3 separate regions of the Mus musculus genome follow, and all the other regions are reported to be linked to region 2. The links are microRNA targets in miRTarBase. Many come from high-throughput screens and were not tested one by one. Region 2 holds a microRNA gene; each other region holds the end of a gene's coding sequence.

Region 1 (5,074 bases), not on the chromosome of region 2:
CATCATTCAGTAGCTTAACCAGGACACTGAACTGAGCAGCATCAATAATGGGTTACATCTTATGCTCTATCTTCCAGGGAAAGAAAGTCTCTGGATGAGGCTGGCTAGGGACAGCATTTACCACTTTATCTTACTCACTTTCTTGCAAGTGTATCTCTGCACATGGGACCTGCTGTTCCTTGACAAGCTTTTTGTCATCCAATCACCCCACCCCAACCCCTGTCATGAAAGTTCTTTCACAAATTTATGGCCCAATGGATGGTGAGTGCTGGTGATTGGTAAGTTTAAAAGATGGCGACACTGCCCCTAACACCGTGGCAGACTTCTCCAGGTACCTGCTTCCTAGCAGGTACTGAGGATCCACAGCAGAAGGTTTCTCCCCGTGGACTGCTTCATACACCAATGTAAATGTAGCTTTTATTTACCAAATGTAATTGTGGTCACTCACTGCTGAACAAGCTCTTCTGTTCTAGTTCTTTCTGAACTCTGGTGGCTGGTTCAACTCAGCTGTTCCAGCTCAAACTCTTCTCCAAGCTGATTCAAACGGGCTTCTCATGGAATTGCTTGGCTTGTTCTTTGTTGTTGTTTGTTTGTTTGTTTGTTTGTGAGACAGGGTTTCTCTGTGTAGCTCCACTGCTCTGCTTGTTTGTTTGTTTGGTTTTGGTTTTTCGAATCACGGTTTCTCTGTATAGTCCTGGCTGTCTTGGAACTTACTCTGTAGACCAGGCTGGCTTCGAACTCAGAAATCTGCCTGCTTCTGCCTCCCAAGTGCTGGGAGTAAAGGTGGGTGCCACCACCGCCTGGCTGCTCTGCTTGTTCTTAAACTAACTCTGGCAATATATTCTAATCTTCTGGCTCTTTGTGGCTTCAACTGCCTTTGCTAACCTGCACTGAATTGCACAAACTCAACTCCACTGCACTGCATTCAACTTCTCTCTCTCTAAGTCACCTCTTTTTCCTACCCTCATGAGAATTGGGCATATCTTTAACTCGTTCTGTAGAATCTTTCTCTGATTTGTTACTTCATCTGCCCCTCAATTAGATGTCACTTTTTAAAAAAAAGATTTATTTATTTTATGTATGTGAGTGAACTGTAGCTATCTTCAGACACGCCAGAAGAGGGCATAGGTTCCATTACAGATGGTTGTGAACCATCATGTGGTTGCTGGGAATTGAACTCAGGACCTCTGGAAGAGCAGTCAGTGCTCTTAACCACTGAGCCATCTCTCCAGCCGTAGAAGTCACTTTCAAAATGGGTACTTCTTTCTACCAACTAACTTTACTGTCATTGTTATAGAGTATGTACTAAGGATGTGTCTATATTCTAGCCAGAAGGATTGAAGGTGTGTTATTCCAGCCAGATCACATAGACCTAGATCATCTTTGGAGGCGATCCCTTCCCGGAGCAGCCAATTGCTGCATTAAAATTCCTCTACAAGACAGATCACCATTGTTAAGCATCTCAAAGAACAAATTATCCACTAAGGAAAAAGTAGACAGCCCAAACAATAAACTCAGTTTAAATGAGAAATATAAAGATGACAACAATTTTTAAGAGTTTCTATTTGATGGTGGTGACACTTCTTTTCCTGGTAGCCAGAGACTGATTGGTAACTGACTGACTGTTTCCTGAGAGGGACCTTTCTGTCATGGAGGAAGGGACTGTGTTGAATGCTAAATTGATGTCAAGAGCTGCGTAATCTTAATCACTAACTTCTATTCGTCAGAGTCAAAAGTTAAACTGTATTCGAGAAGCCAGAATAGGGTCTGGGATGTAGTTTATTGTAGAGCACTTGTCTGCAGTGTGTGTGAGGAAGATGTCTCTGCCACCACCACAGCCAGCAGAGTAACATCCACGGAAGAGAAGGTAGTTTGGTTCAACACAACTAAGTTCAGTGTTGGTTCAAACTTTGGGAGTCTGGCCTTTCATAGTTTGTCTTAGATATATTTAAGTACAGCGCAATTTGATGAAAATGTTCCTGGCGATAACTCAATCACTTGTGCACTATAAAGTGTACACAAATCTCCTTGAGGAACAAAGGAAGCCAAAGAAAGATCAGAAGTGACTATATTGAAATTCTTTGTAAACTACACGTGCATAAACATGGATTCTATAGATTAACTACATGTGACACCTTACATATAGATGGGTTCTATATATAGGCTGCAAAAAAAAAAAAAAAATAACCCCTTGATAAGGACCTGGGGGAGGATCTGGTGTGGTCTTAGCCTCATAGTGCAAAGGTCACTAGACTATTATTAACTGTGTCAGTCCCCAGCCTTCTGGGTAAATAATGGTATGTTTCCCTCCCTTTGATGGAACAACCATGTATGATTAACATTCCATGTGCTTACCTGGGAGCACGGGGACCGTTGTGCCTCCTACACTTGTCTAGCACTTACAAAGTCCTGAATTCCACTTGCAACACAACAAAAGAAGAAAAAGCCAGCGTATTGGCTCTGCCTTGTGATTTTTCAGAAATAGAATTTTATTGACTGTCAAACAGGGCATGTCATATAAAAATCAACGCAGGCAAATTCGTTCAGTGTTCACACAAAAATATTTTTGATGTTCAAAATGAAATATCTCACATCAAATGAAATTTCACCTCTAGTGAAATTTCCCTTTTTACCTCCATGCTTTAGGCTTGCAGATGTGCTGAGTAAAAGCACGTGCACACGCGCTCACACGCACACACACGCGCGCGCACACACACGCTCACACACGTGCTCACATGCACACACGTGCTCACACGCACTCACACACACACACACACACACACACAGACACTCCCCCCACATACACACACCCCACATACCCCATATTTAAATGGTGATGTGTAGACAAAGCATTTTCCTGAGAGGCTGCAAAGATGCAAGGACAGCTTTCACACAGTGCTCAGCTAACTTAAATTAAGCAAAGGGTTCTCAAAAGGGAGGACCAAACTTCCCATGACTAGACTTAGCTGGAGGAGGAATCCAACTTACACCACTGTATTGGCTGCCTCGGATCCCAGAGGTTCCCAGAGTTTCTCTTTTTTATTTTATTTTATTAGATTTATTTATTTTATGTGAGTACACTGTTGCTCTCTTCAGACACACCAGAAGAGGGCATCAGATCTCATTACAGATGGTTGTGAGCCACCATGTGGTTGTTGGGAATTGAACTCAGAACCTCTGGAAGAGCAGTCAGTGCTGAGCCATCTCTCCAGCCCCAGGGTTTCTCATTTTTTTAATTAATTCAGTCCTACAGTGTTCCTTCCAGGAAGCTGTTGTCTGGGGGACCAAGTTAAGAAGTTGTCTTTTTTTTATTTGAGGCCACTAATAATGGGTAAAAGAACCCACTGTTGAGTGCTGACCATGAGAATGGATCCATGGGCCAAGCAGGTCACCTATGGATAGATGATGGTCACTTTTATAGCTCCACCATTGTGATGAGCCACCAAGTCACATTGACCACACTGTGGGTCACCTAGGTTTGAACGGTGACAGTTTCACGGTGACACTTTCACAGGAAATGCTTTCCAGTTACAGATCTCACTCATCTCTAGACCTCAGAATGGACGTCCAATACTAAAACACAACCTTTCCTGAATTTCTAGTTCCATAGACAATGAGTTTTCTATGGGTCTTGACTTCCCAACCAACTTCCACATCACTCATTCCTGTTCTCTACCAGAAAACTTAAAATGCTGAAAATTAAAATTAAATGAGAGTGAGCGAACTGGGGGAGGTGGGGGTGGGCGAGAAGACCCAGAAGCTATTATTCAAAGATCTCCCGGGAAGCTCTAAGCAAGGCAGGGTGTAACTTCTTTCCTGTGTAGTGTGTGATAGCTCCCAAGGAAGCCAAGAATATGCCACGCTCATGTCAATCGAGAGTCTTCTACAGCAAGCATTTCAAAGGGGTGAGAGAATTACAGGTTTCTGTTTCAATAGAAGTATATTATTTTAAGGTACACTTGAAATTTTAAATGTGTACAAAGTCAGAGGTTTAAAAACGGTTGGAAACCACAGACTCAGTTTAGGAAGCAGATGGTTGTGACCCTGCCTTCTCGCTTAATCCACGCCTGGTTTTACAGTCCTCACAGGTAAGCAGGCAGTGCCTAGAAGAGAAGCAGAAACAGATGGTGACTCACACTTTGACAATTGGAACTCTTGTGTCTGTCTGCCTGTCTGTCTGTCTGCCTGTGTCTGTCTGTGTGTCTTCCATCTCCTATCTTCCTAAGTGCTCATCTTACCACAGTAAGCAATGCAGAGAAATGTCTGATTTTATAGTTCACTAGCTCACCTTTTTTTTTTTAAAGTGGGATAATAGTTTCTTAGTTTACTATTATCCAAATACCATTCAATGTTTATGTTGAAACAGATGGTTGTATTTGTGCTTGGAGTCACACAAAAGCTAAACACAGTGACTCTTTGACCTTGAATCACTGGAGTGATTCCTACCACAACAAAAAAATAAATAAATCACAAAGTATTCCAGGTGAGTGGCTCACTTCTGTAGTCTCAAAGCTCAGGACCTAGGCTGGGAAGAGGCCTATGGGGGTTTTTCGATGAGACTTTTGCCTAAAAAGTAGCAATAAGTACACACCGCCTCTTGGACTGCAACATTGATTGGAGCTTGTTATACCTTGACTTTGTTAGAAAAGCAAATGGCCGTGTATTACTGCCTCTGAGGTGAGAGGGTAGTGGCCTTTCACACAGGGCTAAGCCTTGGGTTACCTTACACCAGTGCCAGCCCCGGTGGGGCTTTTCATGCCAGAAGCGGGCGGGTGAAACAGCTATAGAATGCAAAGCTGAAACAGAAAGTATGGCTTCTGGAAAAATGTAGGTTTCATCATTGTTCCAAAACCAAGAGTCATCACAATGCCTCCTTTGCTGACACTGCCTTTCTTTATTTTCCCTACACACATCAGAATCCTGGGCCAAGTGCACCGTAAGGTGACTCCAAAACACAGCTTTGCCAGGATGGAGCCACTCTGGAGTTGTCAGTAAACACTAATGCTTCCCCGCTGGCCTTGCAACCCATAAAGGGAAAGGTCAGGGGTTGCAAACAAATCAGATGTTGAAGTCT
Region 2 (5,074 bases):
GAGTATCCACTATGCTCCCGACGACTGAGTTTCTGAGAGGCTGGAGAGATGGTTCAGTGGCTAAAAGCACATGCTGCTTGTGGTGGTTTGAATACACTTGGCTCAGGGAGTGGCATCATTTGAAGGTGTGGCCTCATTGGGGTAGGTGTGGCCTTGTTGGAAGAAGTGTGTCACTGTGGGTAGGGGCTTTAAGATCCTAGTTCTAGCTGCCTGGAAGCCAGTCTTCTCTTAGCAGCCTTCAGATGAAGATGTAGAACTCTCAGCTCCTGCACCATGCCAGCCTGGACACTGCCATGCTCCTGCCTTGATGATAATGGACTGAACCTCTGAACTTGTAAGCTGGTCCCAATTAAATGTTGTCCCTTGGTTGTGGTGTCTCTTCACAACAATGAAATCCTAACTAAGACACTGCTCTTTTCAGTTCCTGTCACCCATGTTGGGAAATTTACAACTGCTTGTAATTTCAGGTCCAGGGGGAACCCATGCTTCTGGCCTCCTAGGGCATTAATAATCATGTGCATATACCCACAGACAGGTAATTAAAGTAAGTTTAAAAGTCCTTAAGGAATATCTGAGTACACAGGGAGCTTCTAGAACTTTTTTTTTTAATTCAAGGTTACCCAAAATCCTGGAGTTTATCAACAAAAAACCCTGAGGTCCAGTGGCACAATGCTCTAATTCCTCACTCTGTGGGTATCTTCCAGAACCATGCCCACAGTTGCCAACCTTTGCATTTGCGAATAAAAACGCTTGTTCAGTACTGACAGGCAACTGGTGTCCATGACATACAATTCAGCTGCATCTTCAGTTATTTTACTGGAAATGAAGAAGGCCCTGGGCCATGCAAATTGGGGTGCTGGTGACAGTACCCTCTGGTTCAGCAAGCTGGGTTAAAATAACACATAGCCTTCCCCAAAGGCTGTTCCCTCTTCCCAGTCATGCTTAACACCCTTCCTGATGATGGTGGCATTGCCAACCGCTAACATGAGAATGGACTCCAGAATGAACCGGATGTCAGCCGATTTTGCTCACAGCTGTACCCTGGCATCTAACACCTGATGCTCAGTTGGTAACAAGGCTCTGGTTGCTCAATATCTAAAGTCAGTGGGAGTATGCCAGCTTCAGAGCACACCCAGCCTGCTGGTTTTCCTCGACCCTACTCCCAGCATGCACACCACTAGGATAAGCCACAAAGCCTTCCTTCCTGGCTGGCCCTTTAACCCGCTCATGGCCAAAGCAAGAGTTTTCACCAAATCATTTTTATAATGAGGTCAAACCAGGTGAACCCAAGTGAGGGATTCCAAACCTGGCTCTTTCTTGAAGGTAGAGTCCTGACCTAATCCTTTGCATGGATGGCTACTCTCCCAGATACTTCACCTTATCTGCTCAAAGGGCCACTGCATTCTCATACAAAGTTGGTTCTGCCTATTGTGAGAATTAGTAGTTTCATAGTATTTTGTGAACACATTCATTCACAAAAATCAGGAAAGAAACCCTCCTCACCAGGAAGCTTACCTTATATCTTAAATGAAAACAAAAAGAACCCGAATTTGGATCACTTTATTCAACTGCAAAAATAAGATTAAGCTACCTTTTGGGCAGAGAGTTGAAGCAATGAAGCTCAACAGTCACTGGTGGGAAGAAAGGAGACTGGGTGTAGCTAACAATCTCAGAAGAGCGCCTGGCTAGGGGTCCAGACAGGTGCCGCCAACTGGCAAGTCCTTCCTCCAATACTTTCCCATTGGCCCTTCCCCATTATCTCTACTCCAATAGGAATGTGCTCAGAAGTAAAGGCGGTGGATTTTCATTTTTTAGATCAAGACTTCCCAGAGTCACACTCCAGGAGACCTCGGGGCTTCTGAAGCATTCTACAAACGTTGCCAGGACTGAGCTGTCCCTAAGCAACAAAGAAGGCTTCATTCCTTTTTGCTCATCACTAGGTGTCACAGCTTGACATACATGTGTCAGGTTAGCGCCTTTGTTAATGACGGTTTTGTAATCCCTTGACTCTATTCGCTCTCCAGCCACACCCATAAACATCAAAATAGGGCAATGACCCGGGAGCAGGATACAGTTCAATGCCAGTCACTGCCCACTGTAGAGCGCACTATTAACTGCAACTGCCAGCCACAACCCACATTCCATTAGGGTCCAGGAGAGCAGTTTCTCTGTACAGTATCTCACAGCTCCAAAGTATAAACACTGACCTCATAAATGACTGTCAAAATGCCTTCTTAGAAAAGGTACTTCCTTTCCATTAACAACCCCCCCCCCAAAAAAAAAAAAAGAAAAGAAAAAAGGAAAATGAGATGGGCCTAAATCAAACTCAGAACTGAAACTAAATCCAAACCCAATCCTTGCAGGTTCATTTATCTAACAGGGCATTTGAGTAAAAGGCACATTACCTGTGGCTTTGGCACAAGTGCATTTCCTTCTCTTAGGGTACAGTTTGAACATACCAACACACTCATCAATAAACTTGTGGTCCTTCTCTCCTTGCTCAATAAGTGAAGCCAGACTATTTTAGTATTTTAAAAATAACCTTGAAAAATATGCAATCAGTCCACCAGGGTAAGAAGAAAAATGGGGGGGGGTAGTTACTTTATGTGATCTAACCCATTGACTTTAAAGGAGTTTTTCAGGTTCTTCACAAAGCCCTTGTGCCCCCTCTGGGCTGCCCTTCCCCCAAAGGAAAGGTGCAACGACGTGGCCAACAGGGCCACCAGCTTGGCGTCCAGGGCCCTTGCGGGGAGGCGGCGACCACAGCCTCTAGAGACAAAGTTCTGTAGTGCACTGACTTCTATCATACTCAGAGTCGGAGTGTCTCAGAACTTTGTCTCAAAAGACCAAACTGGCTGTCTTCCTCTGGAAGTTTCGTCCTGCAGGTGTGCTCCCTGCCATCCCGCCTCGCCCCCAGTGAAGGCAAAGAAGAATAACTCATTAGAAGCAATTTAGTCCAGGATGAGACCAATAGTGGTACGGATAGTTAATTATGGAAAATTACTGCCACAGTCAGCAGGAGTAAAAATCCAGTAGAAAGGGTGTCCTAAGAGACTCTGGTGGCAATGTCACAGCAAACGGACCAGTGGAATCACACAATGCCCCCTCCTTCCTACCTACTCTACACAAGAATCCATTGCCGGTCCAGCCCCCACCTCCTCCGGTCCTGTTACTAAACTTTGGCAAGAAGCTAATTCACTCAATCTAAGTTGCGGTAACTTTTTACCTTTCCATCTGGAAAGTTGGTGAGGGCGGGGAGGACCTCATGAGAACGAATTCCTGGAGCAGGGAGTCAAAGCCGGCGAACACAAGCCAGTTTCCCCGCAGATGGGACGTCCCGGGAAAGCCAGGCTTTTCGCGGCCTCCCCTTCCCCCAGCCATTCTCACCACACTACTCCGGTTATCCAGCTGCCCGCGCACAGTCTGGGAATCCGCGTCCACGCAGCCCTGGCCCCTCGGTGCCACCCACCCACTCTCCCGGTTTCCCTCTGCCTGCTGAGGCAGCGCCTCCGCAGCCGATCTGCATGCAGTCCACGACACAGGCCCGGCGCCCCTAGCCCATCCAGCCCGGACCACCGTGCGGGGTCCCGCACGCCTCCCCACACACTGCGCGCAAGCAGCTGTTGCGCGCGTGCAACAGGTCCGCAGAGCGCAGTCCCCATCCTGCCCGGTTGGTGCGCGTGGCCGACAGAACGCGGGGCCAGAGCTCCGAAGCTGCGGCCGGGGGTTGCATCGGCCTGTCTGGCCTGGCCGCCCTCCCAAAGGCCCCCCGCACGCCGCAGCCCGGCCCTCTGCGCCCCGGGCCGCTGAGCTAGGCTTCCAGTGGGCGCTCCGCTCCGCTCCCTTCCATCTTGACTTTTGCCGACGTGGAAATTTTGGGTTTGGAGACGACCTGCGCTCTTATTGGCTGCCGGCGGGCGGGGTCGGAGGTCACGGCTGCTCTTGCTATTCCGCGCCAAGGGGAGCCGCAAAACGGCTCGTGTCAAGTCAGCAGGTTCCCTCCGCCTCCTCAGGGTCACGTGCGCGCTGGGCGGGGCGGGGAACCGCCTCCTTATGCAAATAAACGACGAAGGGGCCCCAGGAGGAAGGGGGCGGAGCCGGCAGGCAGAGGGGCGGGGTGGGGGCGGAGCCTGAGCCGGGCGGGGTGCGGCACTCCAGGTGGTCACCTGGCTCCTAGTCCGGCTCCACCCGGCCTCTGGGTTCAGCCCTTTGTGGGCAGGCTGGGTAGACGTGGTCTCCATCCTGCCCGTGTGCAAGACGCTGAACACAGCTTTGCCCGCAGCCCCTTCCGCTAGGCCAGGCCAGAGCCCAGTTCGGGTCTGGGTCTCTGCTGGGTTGGGGAAGACGAGGCTGCCACCTAAGCAGAGTGAGAAATGGAAACCTTGAGGAGGACACTTTGGCTCCTCCCCCGGGGCTGAGTGTTACAAGAACTGAGAGAGGAATTCTCGGTAAGAGAATTCTAGAACAAAGCTAAATCAAGAATTCATCAAAGTTAAAAAGCCATCCTTTTGAATTAGCTGCCCATTGCCCACTGTAAGTAAGAAAAGGCCAACAGCTACCTGAAAGTATCAAAAATAGCAATTTCTTTTGTACCGCCTACAGGGACAAACCCAAAGGTCGGTCTGTCTGTCCTGACCCCTGCTGGACATTAGGCACGGGGGTGGAGGGCGTGGGGGGGGGGTGGAGCGTGGAACCTGGAGTCAAGGTCTCCTGCATCCGAAGGAGGTATAACTCAAGGTGCTCAGAATTGTCCATATCCACGATCTGTCAGTGGTTCCCCAAGCACGCATGGAGGAGGGCATGAAGGAAGGCGTGCTTTGTAGAAGAAAGGGATTGATGAGAGGCCACATGACTAGATGGCTTCCTTCCCTCCACCCTCCCCAAAGAGAAGACAGCAATGTCAATGTACAGGTAGAGCCCAGGTTATGGTGAAAACCACAGCCTCTGGCCACCGAGCTGCATCTTTTAAAACACAGATATTTCTCAGAACAGGCCTGGTTTTTCTTTGTGATAAAACGTCTGTATCATTTCTTTTTTCCATCTTAAGTGTGGCTGGATGATACGGAAAATGAAA
Region 3 (5,074 bases), not on the chromosome of region 2:
CTACAGATGGACACATCAGAAAAGACAGCATGTCTCAGTGGAAGCTCATTTTTCCAGGGGAAAATAGGAGGCGGGTGGAAGAGAGTGGGAAGAGGGGGTTCTGATAGCGCAGAGGCTTGCCTGGAAGGAGAATGTAGAGGATGGCAGGTGCCATTTAAAGTTGGAGCAGGAGGATGAACTAGATTAAAGGAGCCCAGTGAGTGACTACTACTGTGAGAGCAGCATGTTCAGGCAAGAACTATAGAAGCCCCGGGTTCAGCAGAGACTATCCAGAGAGGAAATATCAGCTCACTAGCCCCTAGGGGAAATGAGGTTTTGTCTACTTTGCTAGCTTCAGTGTGTCCAAGTCCTAGCTCATAACTGACCCTAGAAAATGTTTGCTAACATGTCAGTTACACGATGCTTTTGTGTGAGAGAGCTGCTGTTCTCTGAATACCCACGGGGTGGCACTATTGCAACGCTCCCCGAAGACCGCAGAGCCACCCAAAATTTGGGATTTTTTTTTTTTTTTTTCTTTGCAGTCTGTGATTTTCCTACCCAATGCCTTTGGCACGGATTTCAACATCCCCAGCCCAGCAGTCTCTCCACCTCCTGCCTATGACAACGTGGCATATATGCCCAAGGAGTCATCAGAATAGATTACAAGTTCTGCAGGTTGAAGTCCAGGCTTCCCACTTTACCCAGAGCCTCTCCACCCTCACTTTGTCCGTTCTAAGGCAGCGGTTTCCCAGCGAGACTCTCCAAGCCATGTGCACTGTGTCACTGAGTGACATGTTCCATCCATTTCCTAGTTCCTCCAATACTGTCTTTCCAAAAAAGGCATAAAGCTGGTGTCCAGGGTGTGCCCATTCTCAGCCCTGTCACCTGACATAGACGTCCCGTACACTCCTCCTCAGTCCTCTGCTCATCGTGGGAAATCTTGGCTTCGCAGAGGTTTCGGAGGTTTGTCTTCAAGATCATTAAGCACGGAGAACTCAGAATGTTCCAGAATAGACTGGCATTTCAGAGGCTCAGAGCAAGGCTTGACCTCCAGGCTCCTAGCTCCGAAGATCAGCTCTGTCCTTTGTCATCTGCTGTTACATCTTTGGGATTTCATTTTCCCACCCGGAAACTAGAGTGTTAAACTACACCACATAAGACTAAGGCGTGATGGCGCACGCCTTTAATCCCAGCATTTGGGAGATTGAGGCCAGCCTGGTCTACAGAGTGAGTTCCAGGACAGGACAGTCAGGGCTACACAGAGAAACCCTGTCTCGAAAACCAAAAAAAAGCACCTCTTGGCTAAGCCCTGCATTTCTCTTCTCCACCCCGGAACCTCCTTCTCCTTATTTGTAACAGAAGATTGGCATTGACTCTGGCTCTGCCCACCTACTAGGACAGGAGGCTGCAGAGGAGACTGAACCACTCCATACTCCCCCAACCCTGCCTGAAAAGCAGGAGTGCCCCTGAGAGTCACCACTTCAGCCCAGTGTTCACAGGCCCTGACATATGGCTTGTATCATCTATACTTTGGAGAAAAATAAACAGCGTGGCTTAGATTTTAAGTTGGTCTCAATGTGGTGGCATTTGCTTTTTAAGTTTGGGATCTTCTGAGGGCTTAATCATGGTTAATCGGAGATTCAGGCAAGTACCCCCATTAAGAGCAGGCAGGATATGGTAACTTCTTACAGTTAGGGACATCTCCATGCCTTGAATTCGATGATGATCACATGGGTAATTGCATATGTGAAAATCAACTTGTGTGGAGACAGGGGAGATGACTCCGTGGTTAGGAACCTGAGTCTCTGTGCTCAGCATGCAAGTGAGAAGCTGGGCACAGTGACACGGGTCTGTAGTCCCAGCACTGGAGAGGCACAGAGTGGAGGAACCCATGGGCCTGCATGGCCAACAAATCTATCTGAATCAGTGAGTCCCAGGTTCCATGAGAGACCTTGGGTTGAAAGTTAGGATGGGCAAGTAAGAGAACAAAGGAAGCCTTCAGAGGCCTGAACTCGGCGTGTGGACGGAGGAGAACGCTAATGAGATTCCACAATACACGGAACTTACATACATGCTTGCCGAGTGCTGACATTAATCACGAGTAGGCTTTAACAAATACTAATGAATTCAAGATGTGCTGACTGTACGCACGTCAAAGTCTTACCAGATTTGCCCAGCCTCCCACCTCAGTCTGGTTCGGATGCCCCTTTCTTTTTTCTTTTTCTTTTCTTTTTTTTTTTTAAGATTTATTTATTATATGTAAATACACTGTAGCTGTCTTCAGACACTCCAGAAGAGGGCGCCAGATCTTGTTACGGATGGTTGTGAGCCACTATGTGGTTGCTGGGAATTGAACTCAGGATCTTCAGAAGAGCAGTCAGTGCTCTTAACCGCTGAGCCATCTCTCCAGCCCCCCAGATGCCCGTTTTCTAACCATCTAGATCGTCATTACATCATTAGCTTCATGCTTTTCCCACTGTTCCTTGATGTCATCTCCCATGATTCCCTTCCAACCTGTTCATATCTTGACTGAGTACTCAGAACCCACAATAACCACAACCAAGTTTATGCTGAGACAGACAGGAATAAGAGATCTCAAAATACCATCTGGGAACAGGCATTTCTGTTTCAGGACAATGAGCAAAGGTTCTGGATAAAAATCTGAGAGAAGAGGGCTGGAGAGATATCTCAGTGGTTAAGAGCACCGATGACTGCTCTTCCGAAGGTCCGAAGTTCAAATCCCAGCAACCACATAGTGGCTCACAACCATCCGTAATGAGATCTGATGCCCTCTTCTGGTGCATCTGAAGACAGTTACAGTGTACTTAGATATAATAATAAATAAATCTTTTTTTAAAAAATCTGAGAGAAAACCTAGTCTAAATAATGGCAGATATTTCTTCAATAATTTCTGTTGGAGAACCCTAGCTTGCCTAACCTCAGAGAGTTCTGTTTTTACATAGGATGAAGCATCGATCTATTATCAAATACCCAAGGATCCTAACTTTAATAAAGGAGAGAGATTTATTTACCTCGCTGTTCTGGAGATTGAAGGTCAAACGTTCACGTACAGTGGTGAGTCTGTCCTCCAGGCAGAGTCTAAAGGTGGCACAAAGCATTGCTCAACAAAAGGCAGGAAAATCATGCATGCGAATCTGATTCTTCTCTGTTTCTGATAAAGTACTAGGATTCATTTATGCCCTCATCCCCATAGCCTTCTAATCCTAATCACACCCCAAGGCTACCTACCCCTCAGTTTTCATCAGGTTGAGTTTCTGACTGATGACAAACAGGGTGGCACTTCAGTGCGAGAACTATAGGGGGCGCTCTCACTACTCCCAGGGGCTCTTACTTAGCTCCCTATTTGGTCATTCCACAGTTGTTGACTATACTTAATAATCAAAGGTGGGTGGGGCAAGGAAACAAATTCTTGGCCTTATTCCCACAATGAGTCAGTTCTGCTCAGAGCAGGTGGGAAGCTTTTTAAAAAGCTCGACTCTTATTTATTTCTTTAAACATCACTAGCTCTGCCTGCTTTTAATCATCACACAAATGAAATTATATAGTATGTGTGTATCTTTGTGTCTGACTCTTTTGACTGAATGAAATGTTAGAGATTTATCTGTAACATCTTATATTTTTATTTTATTATTTTCAATACTATAAACCTTTTGTTTTATTCTATCAGTTTAATTGATTTACCTGTTGATGGATAACCAGGTTAATTCCATTTTGGAGCATCGTCAATAACACTAACTTTAGTGTGTGCACGTGCCTCTGTGTGTGTGCACGTGCCTCTGTGTGTGTACACGTGGTCTCACACACACACACACACACACACACACACACACACACACACACACAGTAAGAAGACTGGAGAGACAGCTCAGCAGTAGTTAAGCGTACTGGCTGCTCTTCCAGAGGACCAAGGTTTGATTCCTCCCGAGCACCCACTTGCCACATGGCAGTTACAATTGTCAGTAGCTCTAGCTCAAAGGGATCTGACACCCTCTTCTGGCCTCTGAGAGTGCCAGGCACGCATGTGGTGCACAGACATGCATACAAACAAAAACAATTATACATATTAAATAATAAAATCGTTTTTTAAAAAAGAAAGAAAAGTAAGATAGAGAATAATACACACAAATAAACCAACATACACATATATACATACAAATTTACCTAACTGCATATGCTGCATACACTTTAATATGTATATTAAATATTAACAATTAAATGTGTATTCTCCGTCTTTAAAAACCAGAGGAAAAAGATAGAAAAAGCACAGTAGTTATCTAGTTCTGCATGAGACAGACTGGACAGCTTGAAGTTACACATTCTCATCTCACCATGTCCATGGTCAAGATCCAAACATGCCTTAGATATAAGTTCTCTGTAAGTCACATGCGCTGCAAGCTTGGTGGTGGCTGGACTTCACTCTCAATCAGGGCTTCCTGTTACTTGTGGTCACGTGACCATACCTTTTAAGACAAACACTACCATGCTTACACAGATGACAATACATCTGTCTGGCTTACCACCAGAGACCAAAGTCAAGCAAGAACTTAGGATGACCATGGCTGGTTTGAGGAGGGACACAAGGCCCAGGGCAGGGTCATTGTAACCACTATTGTGGATACTTTAACTTTCAAAAAATTAAAAGATTCTTTGAGGGGCCAGAAAGGTGTCTCAGAAGCTAAAGTTACTGCACAACCTGACAATATCCGTTCAGACCTCAGCACTGTGGAAAGGTGGAAAGAAGGAATCAATTTCACAAAGTCCTCTGACCTACACACACTCACACAGACACACAGACAGACACACAGACACACATCAATCACACACTCATATCAGCCACCCACATCAACACACACACACACAAATAAAAATTTGAGAATTTTAATAATCAACTCATTCAAATGCTGCCTTCACCAACTTGACAATGAACTGCTCCATGAACTGAAATGTCATCACTGCAACATTAACTGTCTCAGCTGTTAAAGGGAGACATAAGGAAGGAGACTCAGATCTTCACCTGCCCAGGTTTGGAAGCAGATGGTTTTGAAGGATCTAGTCCAGACATGCATCTCTGATT

Evidence for each region. The annotated mature microRNA mmu-miR-148a-3p reads UCAGUGCACUACAGAACUUUGU and lies in region 2 at 2,776-2,797, opposite strand. An mRNA with a match to its seed (bases 2 to 7 or 8) in the 3' UTR can be bound and repressed. Matches are read on the target gene's strand: a 7mer-m8 pairs with bases 2 to 8, a 7mer-A1 pairs with bases 2 to 7 and ends in A, and an 8mer does both.
Region 1: the mRNA of Ociad2 is a reported target of mmu-miR-148a-3p. Seed matches in the 3' UTR shown: 7mer-A1 at 3,190-3,196.
Region 3: the mRNA of Ms4a15 is a reported target of mmu-miR-148a-3p. Seed matches in the 3' UTR shown: 7mer-m8 at 751-757.

The regions. Positions count from the first base shown.
Region 1 is chr5:73,319,745-73,324,818 of GRCm38, forward strand. Ociad2 (OCIA domain containing 2) reads right to left here. Exons shown (of 7, transcript NM_026950.4): 7 at 2,454-4,103. The coding sequence ends at 4,022. Among named protein-coding and RNA genes, the nearest start is that of Ociad2, 17 kb to the right of the region's middle.
Region 2 is chr6:51,267,054-51,272,127 of GRCm38, forward strand. Mir148a (microRNA 148a) reads right to left here and starts at 2,857; the gene lies at 2,759-2,857. Gm38821 reads right to left here. Exons shown (of 4, transcript XM_011241556.1): 2 at 4,154-4,357; 3 at 3,227-3,899.
Region 3 is chr19:10,974,773-10,979,846 of GRCm38, reverse strand. Ms4a15 (membrane-spanning 4-domains, subfamily A, member 15) reads left to right here. Exons shown (of 7, transcript NM_001034898.2): 7 at 522-1,540. The coding sequence ends at 638. Among named protein-coding and RNA genes, the nearest start is that of Ms4a10, 2.6 kb to the right of the region's middle.